Drosophila melanogaster: one gene and its partners. The protein of the gene in region 4 interacts with the protein of the main gene of each other region in a pairwise test. Each region holds a gene or a part of one and is shown on either strand. Other genes may lie near its edges.

Region 1 (4,062 bases), on a different chromosome or scaffold from region 4:
AGAGTTCAGTGCACCAGGAGATCACCAAGGAGGACATCCTAATGGCCGCTAAGAAATTGAGCATTTTTGGCAACGGGTATGGGTCATTACCTCTGCTTGCATTCAATATCACAAGTTTCTCGTTTTCCATAACGTACCTTCAGCTTTGTGGTTCACAAGCTGGGCAAGGGCAAGTACATAGTTCAGTCCATTCCCGGAGAGCTGAGCATGGAGGAGACCAACATACTGAATGCCGCATCCAATACCGAACAAGGCTGTGTTACGCAGAGTCAGCTGATCAAGGATTTGGGGTAAGAATTTCACTTGTACTTTCAACTGAATATCCCTTTGATTTCCGTGTTATCCGTTCTCAGCTGGACCGACTATCGTGCTCAACAGTCACTGGACAAGGTGCTCGGCGAAGGTCTCTGTTGGATTGACAAGCAGGCGGGCGATGAGCCAGCCTATTGGTTTCCCAGTTTGTTTCCCGGTCGAAACGCACAGACAACGGCCGCCACATAGTGTGATCTCGTAGAACTAATTTATTATGTACGAGAGTTATCATAAAATATATATTTGTACAACCGTAAAATCAGCGTGAAGTCTGCTTGGAGCTATCGCCTGCGGCACCGCTCTTAAGCAGTTCGTTTTCCGCCAGCAGCACGGAGTTCTCCTCCCTTAACTTGTAAATTTCCGATTCGAAGCGTTGCGTGATGTCCTCCATGCCCTCGCGGTATTTCTCCTTCATTTTCTTGTGATCCATTATGCAGCGATCCATTTGAGACTTATAGTACATTTTTCTAAAAGCGTTATGATTTATAATCATGTTTGTCATTAATTGTCTATGTTGTATACTCACATCCTGGCATCTTCGGCATCCCCACCGTAAGCTTCAGTAACGGATCGCTCCAGTTCGCCAAGTCGCCGGCAAGTTGCCTCCAACTCGGCCTCCAGCTTATCGTTCTGCTTCAGCACCTCCTTGTACTTTTGCTCCAGGCGATTGCTCCGGGTCTCCAGCATGTGCACCACCGACTTATGATCGACAGCCAGTTTTTTCAGCTAAAATTTGTAAGTGTAACTATAAGTGATAATTATTATACGAATATAGACTTTTACCTTCTCCTTTATGGTGGTAATTATAATGTCCTTTTGCTTGAGCATATTCTTCAGATGGCCCACTTCAACGTCGACGCGTGTGGAGGCCTCATCCATTATGGTACCGATATTGGAGGCTAGGTGGGTCATCTCCTCCTTGTAGGTCTCGGCCAGCTTTGTGGCATCTATTTTCTCCTTGTTTGCCTCTTCGCTGAGTATGATAGCCTCCTCGAGCTTGCGCATGGCGGCGGTTTCCCGTCTTGTGCTCTCCATGAGCAAATTGTGGGTGTGGCTCAGCGATAGTTCGTACTCCTTAAGCTGCTTCTGCAGGATGGACACCTTGGATTGACTCTGCTCGCTATCCTGCAGTTGAGCATGCAGCTGCTGGAGTTGCAATCCGCTGTGCTGCTTGTGATCGTGCAGGGCCTTTATGGTCTCCGCCTGCGTGCGTATCTCCTTCTGCTGGTCCTCAACTTTTGCCTCCAGCACTTTGACGATCTTCGAGTACCGCTGTATGACCTAAAATTGAATTCCGAAAACGTTGAAGTTTACTTTAGGATTTTTCCATTAGTCTCTGGTCCCTAAAACATACGATTTGGTCAAAGCTTACTATAATATGATAATCAATACGGGATTGGAATGATGAAGTGCAATAATACCTGGTCATCTCCAGACATTTTCAATTGGACGCGATAATTCTTAAGATCCATCTCCATGGTTTCGATGGTCTGTTTGGAGAGGTCATGCATGGTTTTCAGGCTGTTCCGTTCCTTGATAAGCTCATCCACCTGCTTCTTGGACGCGTCCAAAGCCTTGTTGCTGAGTTGAAGGCGATGCTTGAGCTCCTGGTAATCGCCGCTAACCAAGATGCTCCTGCATTTGGCCAATTCGATGTCCAGCCGGCGGTTCTCATTTAGAATTTCGTTGAGGTGAACCTTCAGTTCGGCCTGATCCCGCATCAGTCGATCCACTCCTTCACACATTTCCAGCACAAAGTTGCTAAATGGTGAATTGGCTGCGCGTTGACTAACTTTAGTTGACAAATTTTCCTTTGCTCTCCTACCTGAGAATGGCTTGCTGATTTTCGTGTTGTGTCATATTTGTTGTGTGTTTGGAATCATATTATTTTTCACAGCAGAGTTGTGTATCGGGTTTATTGTGTGTTTGTATAGAATTTCATCAATGAACCAAACAAAATGTTTATGTTTGACATGAGACGAGTTTCTGCGATGAAGCAAGCTTTGTCTTTTAAATTATCAGGCATTTAAAATCCTGTTGAAGGCAGTTTGGCTTAGAAATCCATCCGTATCCCCGCGTGCAGCAAGGAGTTCTCTGTATTTCACCGATTTTATGCAACTGGCAACCTTTTGCTGCCCCTCGTCAATCTCTGACAGCCAGCCGCTACCCTTCAAGCAGGTACATATGGATACGGTCTTACTAGCCATTAAAAACCTGGCACGAGTCCTGCCGCGAACGCTGATCCCCTGACAAGTGTCTGTTGTCCTGGGCAACGGGGCAGTGGCAAACAAATGGGGATGTAATCGAAATGTGGTCAACTTTCCGTTTCAGTTGTTTGCAATGCCGCTCTTCAACAAGAAGTTCGAGTCGAAGCCGATTCCAGTGCGTCAGGGACGTTGCAATATAGGACATCCGGTGGCCACCGAGGATCTGGATGACTTCCGCCAGATTTCCCTAACGCTGGGCAACAAGGAGCTGCGTTTTGCGGACGGCATCTGGATGCATTCGACCCGAAAGGGTGACGTAGATGATATGCTCCGGCTGAACAAGAAGTTTCGTGCCCTCGAGGAGGAGAACAATATGTGTAATCTTAAGATCGAGGTGATGCTGGATCTGCTGGCCGAGCGCGACGGAACTAAGTGAGCTGAAGCCAAAGGAAAAGTGATAAAAAAGCTGTATAAAATAAACAAAATATTTGATATACTGAATATTTTTTATTGTCAAATGTTAAAACCCAAGAAACTACATAAATACGTTTTGATTTCACTAATAAAATGCTAAAATCTTAAAAATTCCTAAGCGATGACTAAGGCTGATGAGTGTTTGAGTTATTGGTGGAATCATTCTCGGAATTTACCCACTTAGAGTGGACCTTACTAAGTCGCGAGTACTCAGCTTCATACTGTTGCATTAGATCATCCATGTCTCTCTTGAAGGAAACCATAATTTCTTCCTGCACACCTTTGTACATTTCCACTTGATCCTTGTGAAGTTTTCTTCTATAAATGCCAATAAAGTTAAGTAAATGCTATCATAAATAAAGTTATGATCTCACAATTCAGCTTGTTGTTCCTCCATATCGGGATTGGATTCAATGGCCGATTGTTTCACTCTAGCTTCAAGGTTTTCATCCAGCTTCAAAGCTTCCATATATTTCTGCTTCAAGCGTTCCTTTTTTCTGTGTTAAAAAAAAATGTTCATGTAAATATTATACGTAAATGATTTAGGATCATACAGCAAAATTTGAACTTCTTTATTGGGATCATCAACAGAGCATTCCACCTTGATCTCAGGTTCCATATGCATCACAAAATCTTCATCGAATTTAACACTGTTTTCAATCTTGGGATGGGATTTAGAAATGTTTTGATAAAGCTGGCAGGTATTCTGCATAAAGTAGGTACAGTTTTGATTTCGCTCAGGTTCTCTTTTGAATCCCACCATTGTTGGGGTTAATGATTTTGCAGCCTCATCTATAAAGTTCTTGGATTTAATGCTCAAATTTGCGATGACATCGTTCAAGTCGTCCATATCGTCCTGATTCTGAACCAAAACCTAAAACTTTATATCCTTGGCTTTAAGACCAATAACTCGATAAATTTATACTGAATTAAATGGTGATAGTAAACTAAATGCAAAGGGAACATGTTTCCATTTGTTTCTCGATCACAAAGTAAATCAGTTCGAGTAATAAGCGCATTTGTTTATTTATCGTAAATACCATAAATTTATTTTTACCCAAAGTAAGCT
Region 2 (3,912 bases), 2.9 Mb from region 4:
GCCAATAATTTTCCAAAAAAAATATCGTCACAATCAATGTTATTAGTTTAATTCCGGTGATATCTCAACCTAACGTAACAAAGCCATAATTTAACTAAATTATTAAGGTACATCGAGGGGCCATTTGAATCTAAGAAGCGGAACGTCTTTATGTGTGATTTACGCATTTTAACGACTGATGATCTTCATCAGAACCAGTTGCTTGCAGCGATCGTACTCGAAATACTGGGGGAAATCCAGAGGCAGGTGCTCCATGATCCACGGCTTGTTCACCGTCTGCCGGATGAGGTACTCATACATGGGAGCCACCGAATCGCAATCCTCCAGTGTGAACACATAGCGCTTCTCCAGTGCCATGTATATCGTTTTGGGTCTCCCAGTTTGGCGACCTCGATCCAGGAGGTTATCCAAGACGCAGATGAAGGCATCGGTTAGCGTATCACAGTAGATGACATCGGCAGCTAGGATTATATCGCTATTGTCTATGGCCTCCAGCAGATCCTGCGAGTGATCCTCTTTTGAGGCGAGAAAATCAAACTCCAGAACTGATATCGTAGCGCGGAGGAGTTTTGAATTTCTTTGGACATTGCCGCGGATCAGCTTCAGTATGCATCCCAGGTCCACATCCGTGCAATAGATCCTTCCGTTATTGTGTATTCCGGCGGCAATGCTGGTCAGGCCGACACCAGCTCCCAGTTCCATTAGGGTTTTCTGGGAAAACTCATCCTTTTTGGAGAAAAGGTAGTCTGCCAGAAGAAGGGCTCCTCGCCACACCTGCAAGCCCACCAGCCGGAGCTCCGTGGCCTCGGAATGTTCCAATTCGATCACGCCACGTTTCGGCCTTGGCACCTCAAGGTCGCCGTCTTTATCCGTCCTAATCCCCGCCAGCTTCTCCTCCGGATAGACGAAACGGAACTTCGACAACACCTTACCTCCATCGCGGGTCGTCTGGTAGTTGTTCTCTCCGTAGATCTCCGACGTGACCGTGAACATGATCCGGTTATGTATGCGGCCAAGAGCATAGGGTATATGAATTTAATGCTGCGGTCGGTCGAGACATCTTCCCCGGGCGTCGTGGTCGATTACAAAATCGGTATCGCCAATCGGTAGGCGGAAATTGTGTTTGCATTCTGTCTTTGCACAGTGGATGGGGACACATATATTTTAATAATTTGAAATTATTTAAATTTAGTGTTTATTATTTATGCACCGAAGAACTTTTGAAAATGTTTAATATAAACTATAAACTCGTTTCGCTTAATTTAAGGCAAGCATATATAATCACAGTACTTAATCGTATCTCACGGCTAAGTTCTAATAATTTGTGCACATCTTAAGATTAGAACCAGAGCTCTATATACATATATGTATTGAAATTATTTATTATATTTAATATACAACTTAGTCTTCTTAAAAGGGAATCACTTTAAATTACTATGACTTTTTGATGTTTTTCATAGTGAAAATGTATTATTCAATCTCGAGCCTAATGAGAGATAGTTCGAGTGATTGTATACCACTGTGCCGATCAGCTGTTTGCAGAGCTGGCTACCGAAGGAAGGCAACCTGGTCACACTGGATATTTAGGCGTGCACCGTCGGCAGACAAAACTATCAAATCGAAATTTAAATTATGGAAGACGAGGACGATCCCGTCGTGGAGGAGGTGAGTATGTGAGTGGCACTATTATTACCATGAGAACAATGCCCGCCCATCCCCACCAGATTCCCGTATTCCTGTCGAAGAACCTGAGGGACAGCCTGTATCTCTTTCAATACCCCACGAAAACGGAGCTCCCCAACCACGATGACTCCGTGATTGTCAATTGTTGTGTAAAACCAATCGCCCAGGAGGTGAAGGTGGACTTCGGCCTGGACATTGAGTCGGCCCACTTCGATCGCTTCAAGGGCGAGCAATTTGCGGTGGCCGCCGACGGAAAGAACACCTATGGAGCAGTTCCACCAAAGGGTCAGGAGCGACCCACCTACAAACGTGGCATCATGGACAAACAGGCCTTCACAAGCTCGCGTTCCATAACCGATGTGGCCAAGTACATAGTGGGCATCTTTACGGATCGGGAGGTGCATCTGTCGCCACTTACATCCATAGTCCAAATGCGACCCGTTCTCAGTCACTTCGATAAGGACGACAAGCGCAAGAAGGCGGAACTGAAGGCTCAAACGGAGGACACGGACGATGACGAGGTGCTGCAGCAGGTCACGGTTAAATTTGCACGAGGAAATGCCAAAAACAGCGGAAAGGAGCAACGTGTCGGCACCTACGACAGTTTCGTCCAGCGAATTGCGGATGAGCCGTGGTGCGAGGCCTACTGGCACTCGAGGGGCACGCCCACCGCCGAACTGGAGCGCCAGAAGCTCTTTGCCACCAGTCATCACGGCAGTTCCTCTTTGGCTCTCGCTCCTGACGAATATCTTCGAAAGCTTCTGCCCTACGACGAGCATGTGCAGACGGTAGCCCCAGCAGCTGCTTCTGCTGCCGCCCAAGTACTTCCCGTCTACAACAAGGCCATGCTTAAGTCTATGCCGCTGCTGGAACAGCTTACAGTGCTACTGAGAGATGCGCGGATGCTCTCGTTCAGCGACGTCATTAGTATTCTCGCGGAGCACGTGGATCCGCATGTGGCTGCCGACAAGGTGCTGGCTTTGCTGCCCCAGGTGGGCATCCTACTGCACGGCAACTGGGTGCCGAAATCCGAGGTGGTCTTTCCCGAGAAGGTGCTTTCCCATGCGAACGGTGTGTCCGCAGAGCAGATGATTCGCGCCAGAGATTATATAGTGAGTTATAGTATGGGTGTAGCGATCACTTATCTTGTACTAATCTCCTCAAATCCATCCGCAGCTCTTTCGTTTCTCCCGCACGCCCTACCTGTTCCGAGCTCAGGTAATGGCCGCCACCCAGTTACCTCCTGCGGAAACACTTGACGTTTTGAAGACTGTGGCCCGGGTGAATAACACAAAACGGTGGGAGCTGCTACTGCCACCCGACAAGGAGTTCGAGCAAAAGTACCCGGAACTGGTCAGCCGACAGGAGTACCACTGGACCGCTTCCGAGCAGCACTACAATGAAATGGACTGGGCTAGGGAAACCAAACGTGTTCGGAAACGTTCGACGAGGAAGAGCGAATCCCAGTCACTGACTTCAGCCATGCCGCCGCCCGCAATGAATCACTCAACAACTGGCTCCGTGGATGCGTAGCATCGGATGATGATCTCCCAGCGGCGGAGAATCGGCAGCACGATTATACATCTAGGCACTATTAAAAAGACCAACAATTTTACTTTGTTAAAGAAGTGCTTTTGTAATCTCTTCTGTAATCTCTCCAGCCAAGGCGTTCCTATTGAATTTGGTCACCTGGTAAATCTTGGATCCTGCTGACTTTCTCAGCTGCTCCACCAAAGCCAATGTTGATTTCTCGGGTATGGTGACCAATAGGGCCCGCTTTTTCTTCAGGAGATCAGCCATGGCCGACTCAAATCGCTTGCTAAGCAGCTCCATTTTGCCCACTTCATCCACGACCAGGAGATCCGGCTCTGGTTGGGAATCCTGTGTGCCAAGTACTGGCAGAGCGAGACTGTCGAAGTCCTGCACAAACACCGAATACTCTCCCACTTTGGGTCGTCGCAGCTGGTCCCCGGGATTCTTGCGAGATAGGATTGCTCGTTTTCCGGCTAACGTGACCACGTCGAAGCCGATTCTTTGGCTGGTGCCCTCACCTCGCATTTCCTCTGTGTAGAATCCTTGAAGAATGCGTCCTCTATCCTGCAGAGCCGAGCATATTTTGTGGACCAGTGTAGTTTTACCCACTCCTGAAAATCATGATTACATACATAATAAACAAATAGCAAATATTTTCCCAGCTAAATTTGCACCTGGTGGCCCAGTTAGTATAAT
Region 3 (6,370 bases), about 11 Mb from region 4:
ATTAACTTTAGTACACACATATTTGGAAAAGAAAGTGCGACATTTCATCCACTTGCAGGGTTACCTACCCGTAGCGACTCATTCCATTGCTGCTACGCGGCGGCGGAGGCGAGCGCCGGCTGAACATAGTGTCGTATCCACGAGAAACGCTGCAGGAGCGCAGGCTGCCGCTTAAGGTGGGCGGTAGAGGCATGGGTTCGCGGCGAGAGATGGGCGGCGGTGGGAAGTCGCGCATTCGCGAGGTCTGATAGCGACGCTCATACAGATCGCGTGAGTCCTCGAAGCGGCGGTCATAGTAGTCATAGTCCTGCGGGCGGGAAAACAAGATTTAGATTAGTAGCAGCACAGAATGTGAATAATACTTGGCACAATGGATGATTTGATCGGGGGGGCAAATGGATGCTGAATTTACCCTAAAGCCATCCATGATGCGGTCACGCAGGAACGGCGGCGGCGGTGGTGGCGGCGGATACGGGTCACGACCGTACATGCGATCTCTGTAGCCGCCGGCGCTGAGGGGCGATGGCGGCTCGCGTCCGCCTCCGGCACTGCCGTACAGTCGCGGACACTCTTTCGACCAATGCCCGGATCTTCCGCACCGATAGCACTGCTCCGGATCGCCCATGCCCGGCTTGGGGCGGACCCGACTGGTCGACACTTGAACCTTGAGCGGCTGGCCATCGACAACGCGACCGTTCAGCTCCTTAATGGCGTCCTGCACATCACCGACACAGTCCAGATGGACAAAACCATAGTTGCGCACAATGTCGCATTCGACGACGGTGCCGTATTTCTGAAACAGTTCCCGCACCTCCGGCGCCCGCGTCTTGTCCGTTAGATTTCCCACGAAGATTTTCGTGGTCGGCGTATTGGGCGCCCGCCGGCTCTTGGCCGCCTCCACCTTGATGGCGAACTCGTTCAGCGTATAACCGTTCAGATTCTGTATGGCATCGCGACCCTGCTGCTCCGTCTCCATGTGAACGAAGCCATAGTTCTTCACCACGTCGCACTCGACGACGGTACCGTACTTCTCGAACAGTGCACGCAGCTCGGTGGCCTGTGTCTTCTCGTCAAGATTCCCGATGAATAACTTGAACGTGCCGGCTCCGGGCATGGCGGCAGCGGGTTCCGCTGCGTGGTCGTCCACGGTTATATCGTTTATATCACTCTGGGTGGGGTAATCCCGGAAAATGGATATCTACGCGGCGGCGGCGGCGGCGGCTGCGTCGAAAATATATTTATATATATTTGCCTATATGTTTGTATGTATATACCGCGGTTGGAGGACGACAACGGCGACGAACAAACGCGATACCTCAAGAGAAGAGAGAAGACAGTGCAATTGTTTTCTATTTTAACCAATACGAGCAAAGGATAAACATTAAGGCAGCAGCACAAGGAGCGCGAGTAATCTTAATAAACTCGGTTTTAAATCGCATTATTGGCGTTGTGGCCTAACGCATACATAAAAAAAGATGGCGGCGGCTAGAGTTCACATTTTCTCACGGTTCTCGTTGGCGTGGCTTTCAAATGGCGGTACGGATAATGTGGGGGAGCTAACTTACCTGATCGGCAGCGGGCTTTGGCTGCAAATTAAATTATAAACGCAGAGCTTTATACTTTCTACTTTCCAGGCCGAGCAGCAGATTTTTCCAAATCGATTCGCACTTCGTCCGCAATATGACCGTGTGACGTCTGGAAGAGTGTGACTGAGTCTGACTTGGGTGGAAATACCAGATAGAGTTTTCCCGTTATATGATCACCTTAGCTCTGTAAAAATACCGGATAGTTAAAATAATACGGAAATCTTTAAAATATATGAAGATTAGAAAACATAGAATGTCTAGCGATCATGATCGTAACTCGTTAAGTGGTACTATATTGAATACTTTGTCTTGGATCAAGAATATAATTAACATTACTTATTTATTTTACAGAAATCGTAGAATAAGTCCAAATAATTTACGAAAAACTGCAAGCTGACTTGATCGCTTCGAAGAAAAATGTTAAATGTAAAATGTGGTAAAAAAATTATAACTAACAGAAAATATTTACATTGCAATGTATTTGATTTTTATAAACATTGATGTAAAAAAAATTTAAAAACAATGTAATGCATTTAATATATATAAACATTGCAGTAAAAACATAGACGATCTGGCATGTGTTGGCAAACGACCGAAGAGACCCTGAACGATCCAACCACCCCCAACACTAGGCAGCTACAAAAAAGCGCGAAGGAGTCACAATTTGGACAAAGTTAATGCGAAATAAAAGATTTGCGCGCGATCATGGAGACCCCGACGGGTAGTGGGCGTCCCAGTCGCATGGCCACTCCGCGCCTTTCGGAGCGCAAGCGGCAACTGTTTGGCAGTCCCAGATCCAGGCTGCGCCAAATCAACGACGACGAGGATGATGCGGACGTAGACAGTCTGGGTGTCTTGCCATTAAAGACCCATGTGGCGGCCAACAGGAAGGGCAGGAGTCTCTTCGCCGCAGTCCCCGGCAAGTCAAGCAGCAGTGCGAACAGCAGCCCGGAAACCAACAAGGAGAACAAAAAAACCCGTGGCGGAGTCATGACTGCCACGGCGGAGCAGCTGCCCCAATTGTTTACAGCCACCATGCGGCTAAATAGCAACAGCAGCAGCAATAGTCGCAACAGCAGCCCCCGTCAGACGAGGGTCCAAAGAAAGCGAGCGGATTCTTCAATGTCGTCGCCCACCTCTTCCTCTGAAGGAACTCCTTCTTCCAGAGCCAGAAATAGCATCAGACGCAGTCCACGAACCTTCAGTGCGCAAAAGGATCCAGATGCGTTCTCCTCGCCAGAATCTTTTCAGACTAGGCTAAGCAAGGTGGCAGCTATGCTAATGAAGGGTCAGGATTCAAGATCAATGTTAGAAAAATCAAAGAAGAAACACAACCACAGCCTAAAGACCACTGCCCAAGTGCATACAACTAAACCGAAGAAAACGAGCCCAGCTGAAGAGTCCCAGTCGGACGACGAGAAACCTTCTAGCAGTAAGAACTCCAGGAAGAATACAGAAGTTCGTGAAACAAGGAGCTCGCAAATCATCAGTCCAAAAACCAGGAATAGGCGAAGACCCTTCACGTCGGCGGATATAAACTGCAAGACGCTGAAGGCTGCTGCCCATCTACATGAGAACATGAGGTCGTATGATGAAGAAAAAACAGCAGCAGTTAAGCTAGAAAACAGCAGAAGCAGATCCAAGTCCCCGGTAGAAGTGTTCAAGTCAAATGACGATGCAGTAAAACGAAACACAGGAAACACCAACAATAAAACAGCGAAATCTTCCGAAGTTGCCACAGCAAAAAGGCCAGAAAGCCCAGGAAGTAGTATGAAGATTGATGTCGAAGTGCCCGAATCGGACGAAGAAGCATCCAATCATAAGCCTCAAAAGCGACAGCACCCAGAAACGTCCACCCCGGTTGCTCCTTCAGCGGACGCCGACTCTGGTTCGCCGCAGAGCAAGATGCGCAAGGTGACGCTGAGCAGCAGCATTCCCACCATGGCCTTCTATTCCCACAGTGGAGAAGCGGTCACAAAGTCAAGAAGGCGGCCGTCCATATCCAAGAATTCGCTTAAACAACCAACGAAAATCTCGCCAACCTCCCGTCCACTATTGGGCATTAATAAGGGAGTTCACCACAAAATACGCAAGCGTCACGGTTTTGCCAACCGACTGCCAGCCACCGATATGGACAACATTCTCAACTCGCTGAGCAACGAACGGCTCAAGAACCTGATCACCACCAAGCGTGAAGAGCGCGCCAAAGTGGAGGAAGTCCACCAGATTCTCCGTAATGCCAAGGACCCGATCAAAATGGCCAAACCATTGAGTGTGATTGAAGCCGACGATGCTAACAACAATAACAATCTGCCAGCAACCGCATGGCAAGAAACTTCCGCCGATTTCTCCGATCTTAGTGATGTCGAAGACATTGATCCCATCATCGAGGTGGAGCCTATCATACCAATAATTCGCCACGAGCCGGTCCAGAAATCCCCAACCGCCGAGCCAGCCGATCTAAGCAAACGAAAGTTCTTCAAATCGGGCCGCCGTAGTAGCACCTGCATGGAGGTGAGAATCACGGACAACATCCGGGCCAGCGTCAGCCAGGGCAAGATTGAACTCGTCCAAACGATACGCCGTAAGCCGCGGCAAGTGCGCGTCAAGTCGGCCACGATATTTTCCGCCGAGCAGGCGACTGTGGATGCGATCCTAAAGAATCTGGACGATACGGTGGTTGATGAGATTGTAGAAGCGAATCCGGTGGTACAGGCAACGCCCATTGATGCGGAGGAGACGACCATGGAAACGGAGTCGCTACCGGATATAATTGAGTATGCCCCAGAGGCGAACGATGTGGAAATTGATCCCTTTGCTGAGTTCCGTCAACGTTTGCCATACCAAACCGATGATCCCAATGTCGTGGAGCAACAGCAAATTTTACTAGAGTTTCTCATTAGCAACAATATTTGCACCGAAAAGAACTTTGAGATATTTATTGCAAATCCGGATGACTACAAGGACGAGGCCAATCAAATTGTGGACAATTTATACATGGTGGTGAACAGCGAGGAGGCTGCGCAGCTTGCTCAGATGGAAACAGTGGAAAATACAGCGGTGGCCATTGCACCAAAACAGGATGCGCCAGCAGTAGAGGAAGTTCAGCCAAAGCTTTTCCCCATATTCACTCAACGCTTACAGCCCGTTGTCCAGAAATCGTTGCGGCGTCGGCCGGATACATCGATGAGATTGCTAACGGCGGCGGGTGGATCGAATCAGTACCAGATCGATGCTGGTCAAAAGGCCTTCGGAGCACGGCAGTGCCAGCAGTGCGGATTGGTGTACACCGTGCACGAGCCGGAGGAGGAGCTGCTTCATCGCGAGTACCACAATTCCATCCATGTGCTGCGCTTCAAGGGCTGGATCGACGAGGACATTGTGTCCGTTTATCCAGAATGGGCCAGCGACGGGCGCATCATACGGATCAACGAACGCGCTCCGACAGCTCGGCTCGACAGACTGCGGGATCTCATTGGTGTGGTGGACAAAGAGCTGGGCTATTCCTCGTACATTGTGCCAAAGATCTTTGTAGCCTTCATAGCAGTGCGCAAGCAGCAGATCGTAGGCTTCTGCCTGGTGCAGCCCCTCTCGCAGGCCCATCGTTTCATCCAGGTCGATGGCACGGACTACTTCAGCGAGGAAAGCTACCCGGCCAGGTAAGACATCCCCTACTGCATGCCCCTTCCCTTGTCAACGGCTAAAATGTGCCTTCTTTCAGCTGCGGCGTCTCACGCATCTGGGTTTCTCCGCTGCAGCGACGCAGCGGGATCGCCAGCAAGCTGCTGCGAGTCGTCCAGTGCCACACGGTGCTCGGTCAAGAGATCGCTAGGGAGTGCATTGCCTTCAGTACGCCCACCGACGATGGTCGGGCTCTGGCACGCCAGTTCACCGGGTTGGATAACTTCCTCACCTACGACCAGTGATCGGGGAAATCTATTGAAGCTATTGAATAGCTGGATTGTTTTTGAGTTAGGATTGCTTCGAAACCTGTAATAGTTGATAAGCAAGTGCGATTATGTTACTAGCGGCACGAAGACGCGCAATTTAACATGTTTACAATGGTGGTTTAATATGCCTGTTTTTACGCAATGAACACGATATTTTCTTCGAGTCGCATTAATTTTGAAAATATAGATTAATATTGTTTATCTTACGTGTCGGGTTTTAAAACATGTAAATTTGGTGTTACAAAAATAGCACATACGTTAATTTTTAAATTGTATGTTTATAAACATTGTTTAATATATTTAAATTCTAACAAATAACTTAATGTCTAAATGTATGCAGTAAAAAATTTACACAACCTGCACTTGCGATCGATGAATGGTTATCGATCGCTTGCAACCATGCGGCGAGTCCACAAAGTGCCATCACTAGCACACTGAGCCTGGCTTTTGGGCGTTGTTTTCGTAGCAGCAAAGTGGCTGAAATTAATAACATTTAAGAGCAGAAGTGTGTAACACACCTGAATGGGACTTGTGCCAATCTCAGTGACCACCAATCGCGCGCAAATGGTAAGTGCAATCCGCATATAAGCTGCTAAGTGGGGAGCTGCTGGTGCTGCTAGTTAGTTTACTTTGGTGACGCCACGCCCAATGTGACAAATTGGAATCGGTGGCAATTGGTTTCGGGGTGCAAGTGGCATGCAGCGTGGTGGTTGAACCGCTTTCTCACTCTTCTTCCCCTGCCCTCCAGACCATTGAGCATTGTGCAGCAGGCTATTGAGGCTCTTGCAAGTGACCACACCCCTATAAGACTATGTCCACAATCGAAGAGGAACG
Region 4 (3,989 bases):
TTCCTCCTCTAGGTTGTGGGGATTGTAGGGATACAGCATGCAGTTGTGTGGAAAGTCCAAACTTTGAGCATACGAAGCAAACTCCGTGAATACCTTGCCGACCGACGAGAGTATTCTTGGCAGGAGGTTATCCACAGATTCCGGCTTTGCCTGCAGCCGAGCGTAATGAAGTAGCAGTTGCTTTAATTCCAGTTCAAAATGATTTCTTCGTTTCTTAGTCTGATCCTCATTTTCGCTGTATTCGAACACACTGCCATTATCGGTTTTCAGCCCGGGCACAGATCTGTGTATGTTAAGCCTATTCAAGCGAAGTGATAAGCGTTTCTCCAAAGGATCTGGAGCAGCCTGTAAAATGCTCATGCTGGAATTCATGCTTCTTTCATGGGCTTTTTGCTGTGTCTTCAACTTTGAGAACTCGGCGTTCTTAATCTTCAACTCGATGTCCTTGGCCGCAATTTGTTTGGCCGCTTCTGCCACTTTTTTGTTGCAATCCCGATTCGTTTCGTCGGCCAAAGCCAGCTTTTCCATTTTGCTAGCCTGCAGCTGCTGGCGCAAGTGCTTCAGCTCATCACGAAGTAAGGAAACCTAGAGAAATAAATATAAATGGATTAGTTTCTGTAAGGTCTAGAATCGGTGTTATAGTTCCACCCCGATGTCCACCTACCTCACCAGACTTGATCTCATTGCGTTCCTTACTGTCGCCCAAATTCTTTTCCAGCTGCGCGTTTTCCCGCTTAAGGGCTTCAATCCTATCCATGAGAAACTTTAGCTGATGCTCCTGCTGGCGGGATTGCGTGGCATTGATGGTCGTCGTGGTCGTGGTTTTCTGCTGAACACTTATGCTGCTGGTAGTTATCCTACTTGTGCTGGTCTTCGGCTCCGGCATCTTTTGTGGCTCACTGTCCATGAGGGTAACGGCCAGAAAATCGAAATCATCATCATCCGCGAAAATCGCATCCATATCCAGGGAAGTAGGCTTCTTTTGTGGCGGCGGTGGCGGCGGAAACATTTGCTGTGTGCTGGTTGAGCCCTGAAAAGTGGGTGCAAATTCGCTGAAGGTGACCTCGCTGTTGCCGATGTCCACCTCTGTTCCGCCCTTCTTTTTCCGCTCCTCCGCCTCGATTTCCGCCTCCGCCAGCTGGGTGGCCATCAGGATGACATCGTCATCGTCGTCCCAGAGAATCCCATCGAAATTGTTCCTCGGTGGACTGGGTCGCGCTGATCCGCGGGTAACGCTAACATCCAGGCGCGGTTTCTTGCACCGCGCGAAGTCTTTCATGGCAGAAAAGCGCTTGGCCATGGTTCCTCCAGTTTCCGCTATATTTCGTTACTTTTTGGCCATGGAAAGTCGTAGATTATTTTGCCGGTTTGCTTTGTTTATAAAATGTAGAGCTCAACTAGCGTTGCCAGATGGATTTGATCGCAACGATGGATTTGCCCAACCAAAATAGAGATTATGTTTCGAATCCATGTTGCATAGAAAAATACTACATTAGGATTTACTGCAACAAAAAGCCAGTTTTGTAATATCGCTCTTTGTTATTATGCTGGTTTTTTTTAAGCGCCGATAGAAACCCGCTACAATCACAGTTTCAAAATCCGATTAATATTGAGCAAAACCAAAGTCATCTGGCTACACTCAAGTCTATCGACTGCGGTGTATCGGCATGTGGTGTATCGACTCAGCTTTCCCATTAACCTCAAAGGAAAATCAAAGAATTCTGCGGAAATTCTAGCCCAAAACTAAAGGACTTACGGGGAAACCAGAACCCAGCGACTTCGGTCGAATTTTCGAGGTGACGGGCGGCGCGAATGGAACGCCATGCCAGCGAAGAGGATGACGGTCACCACAGCAGCAGCTTCGACCATCAGTGGAGCCAGTGGGTCCACCACGAATAATGGTCAGTCTGGTGGCGGTGCACGCCCACTGGAGACGCTAAACGGAATGACCAGGCTGACCCCCGCCCGCGACTTGACCCTTGGTGGGCGCGGCGCTGGGACAGCCAGCAAAAAGGTCTTTGCTCCCAATTTGAATGCTGTGCGCAATAAAAATGCGTGAGTTGTGGAATGGCCCAGGGGGAGTCATTCTTTTCATCATCTCATTTGATTCACAGCAATGTCAAGACATCCAAGGACACCACGCAGCCAAGGAGCGGCCGCAGAGGTGGACGTGGCAACGGCACTGGAGCAACACGTGGTCGAGGTGGAAATTCCGCTGGCGGGGGCAACTCCACGCTCATCCAAACCCAGGGACTCTTCTCCGAAGGAGCAGGCGATGTTCATGTGCGAAGGTCCACAGGAAATGGAACGGCATATGCACGGGGCGGTGAGGAGGTGTCCGTGACCAGGAAACGGGTGGATCGCAAGGACGACAAGAGCCAGGCCGAGCGGATCAAGGAGCTCTTGGGCGAGTCGGACGCCAGTGGCGGCGAGCTCAGCGAAGAGGAGGCTAACAAGACTGAGATGGCACTCAGGCCCATCCTGCTAAAAGAGGGTACGTTTTACAAGCACTTTTTGATGCACACGGGCAGAAGAAATTCATGCTTTATTTGTTTATAAACGTTAGGACTCTGGGTCACCCAGAAGACACCGATTGCGAAGCAAGAAATCGCCAGTTCAACCTCAACACTTAAGGGTAAGGCGCTAAGCTTTAAAAATGGCATAATCTAATTTGATTTCGCTCCTAGACACTTTGGCAGTGGCCCAGCATTTGCAACAGCTGCATGTGGCTGCCCAGGCAGCCAGTTTAGAGGAACCTCCGCTGCAGTACGGTCGCTACCCACGCACCATTGGTAACTTTCTGGACTCCAGCGAAGCGCAGATCTTTCTCATGCAACTGCCAGATGTGTTGCCATGTGTGGGCGACGATTCCGAAGATCCGGAACCGTCTAAAGGAGATCATCAGGCCACCAGTGAATCGGAACCAGCAAGTCCTGCAGACAAATGCTCAAACGGACCCAAGGGCAGTGTACTACGGCAGCTGGAAGAAGGGCAGATCGGCAAGATTCTGAGGTACAAATCCGGTCGCGTTAAACTCCAATTGGGGGACACACGCTTTGACTTGGATATGGGTCTCGATCCGGGTTTTCTGCAGGAACTCATGTCTGTAACCGCCAATCGCGAGCAACGTAGTGGAAACATGATCAACTTGGGACCCATTCAAGCCAAACTAAAGGCCACTCCAGATTGGGTGCACCTTTTCCAGCAGCAGGATGCGGCATCCAAGCGAACGAATCCAGTACCGGGCACGTAGCACCCACTTCCCCATGGTAGATATGTAATATAGTAAATAGGCTGCGCCTAAGCTTAAGTTATTCCTATTCTAAATGCCGTATATAAAAGTTAAATATAGAAATTTTTATAATACAAATGCTTTTCAAAAGGTTATTAACAATTGTACTCGAATATGGAACATAAAAGAGACTCCAAGAAAGATGGGCTTGGAACTTGGGGATATGTAACGTAAATTAAGCCATCAATACTTAATGCAATGACCCAAGATTAATTTTTAGGTTAATGGATTGTTGATATATTATATGTTCAAATTAAGTGATTATTATAATTTCAAATACGGTCTTAAAATTTGAAAAGTATTCTAGTTCTAGCAAATCGCTTTACAATAGCTAGGTTATCCAATTCCTATTCTTTTGCGCAAATCAAATATACTTAAGTGTGTTGTTTATTGTGCAGAAAAATAAAAAAAAACACGGACTTTCAACTTTGGTTAGAAACCTATAAAAAGCATTTTAATGTAACAACAAACTAAGACACTGCATTAATTAATTACTCAAAACTTGCTGGTTGGGTTCGGGAGTGGCGTCCGGGAGCTGAGAGGTGCTTCGTCCGTGGTAAAGATTACCGGCCATATCGATGGCGAAATTGTGGTCCACGGGATTGGCCAACGCTGTCTCAATGGCTGCATCCAAGTTTTCCCTAGTGATATAGTTCTTGGAACGCTCAATCTCGAGCAGCACCCGCTGGTTGGCCTG

Evidence for each region.
Region 1: the proteins of Polr3D (region 4) and CG6569 interact in a two-hybrid assay, tested with the Drosophila melanogaster proteins (one large-scale study listed by BioGRID).
Region 2: the proteins of Polr3D (region 4) and Polr3E interact in a two-hybrid assay, tested with the Drosophila melanogaster proteins (one large-scale study listed by BioGRID).
Region 3: the proteins of Polr3D (region 4) and eco interact in a two-hybrid assay, tested with the Drosophila melanogaster proteins (one large-scale study listed by BioGRID).

Annotation. Positions count from the first base shown.
Region 1 is NT_033777.3:21,865,672-21,869,733, forward strand, and holds CG6569 (uncharacterized protein), read right to left. Parts: upstream 2,249-4,062; 5' UTR 2,173-2,248; coding exon 2,138-2,172; exon of another isoform or gene 2,074-2,137; coding exon 1,734-2,073; intron 1,684-1,733; coding exon of another isoform or gene 1,681-1,683; exon of another isoform or gene 1,656-1,680; coding exon of another isoform or gene 1,623-1,655; exon of another isoform or gene 1,594-1,622; coding exon 1,096-1,593; intron 1,039-1,095; coding exon 839-1,038; intron 780-838; coding exon 572-779; 3' UTR 502-571; downstream 1-501. Other genes in the region: lsn (larsen), read left to right, coding at 1-76, 144-290, 354-501; CG31174 (uncharacterized protein), read right to left, coding at 3,119-3,311, 3,368-3,490, 3,548-3,843.
Region 2 is NT_037436.4:21,030,257-21,034,168, forward strand, and holds Polr3E (RNA polymerase III subunit E), read left to right. Parts: upstream 1-1,568; 5' UTR 1,569-1,632; coding exon 1,633-1,665; exon of another isoform or gene 1,666-1,694; coding exon of another isoform or gene 1,695-1,724; coding exon 1,725-2,795; intron 2,796-2,859; coding exon 2,860-3,216; 3' UTR 3,217-3,303; downstream 3,304-3,912. Other genes in the region: CG10584 (uncharacterized protein), read right to left, coding at 169-993; CG10581 (uncharacterized protein), read right to left, coding at 3,304-3,827, 3,891-3,912.
Region 3 is NT_037436.4:7,334,813-7,341,182, reverse strand, and holds eco (establishment of cohesion), read left to right. Parts: upstream 1-1,842; 5' UTR 1,843-1,873; exon of another isoform or gene 1,874-1,917; intron 1,918-1,937; 5' UTR 1,938-2,022; intron 2,023-2,141; 5' UTR 2,142-2,291; coding exon 2,292-5,245; intron 5,246-5,307; coding exon 5,308-5,512; 3' UTR 5,513-5,741; downstream 5,742-6,370. Other genes in the region: lark, read right to left, coding at 69-307, 413-1,114; wrm1 (wurmchen 1), read left to right, coding at 6,348-6,370. UniProt on the Drosophila melanogaster protein: Acetyltransferase required for the establishment of sister chromatid cohesion and couple the processes of cohesion and DNA replication to ensure that only sister chromatids become paired together.
Region 4 is NT_037436.4:18,107,226-18,111,214, reverse strand, and holds Polr3D (RNA polymerase III subunit D), read left to right. Parts: upstream 1-1,640; 5' UTR 1,641-1,822; coding exon 1,823-2,055; intron 2,056-2,114; coding exon 2,115-2,494; intron 2,495-2,566; coding exon 2,567-2,635; intron 2,636-2,687; coding exon 2,688-3,253; 3' UTR 3,254-3,367; downstream 3,368-3,989. Other genes in the region: mus304 (mutagen-sensitive 304), read right to left, coding at 1-585, 665-1,300; mRpS26 (mitochondrial ribosomal protein S26), read right to left, coding at 3,780-3,989.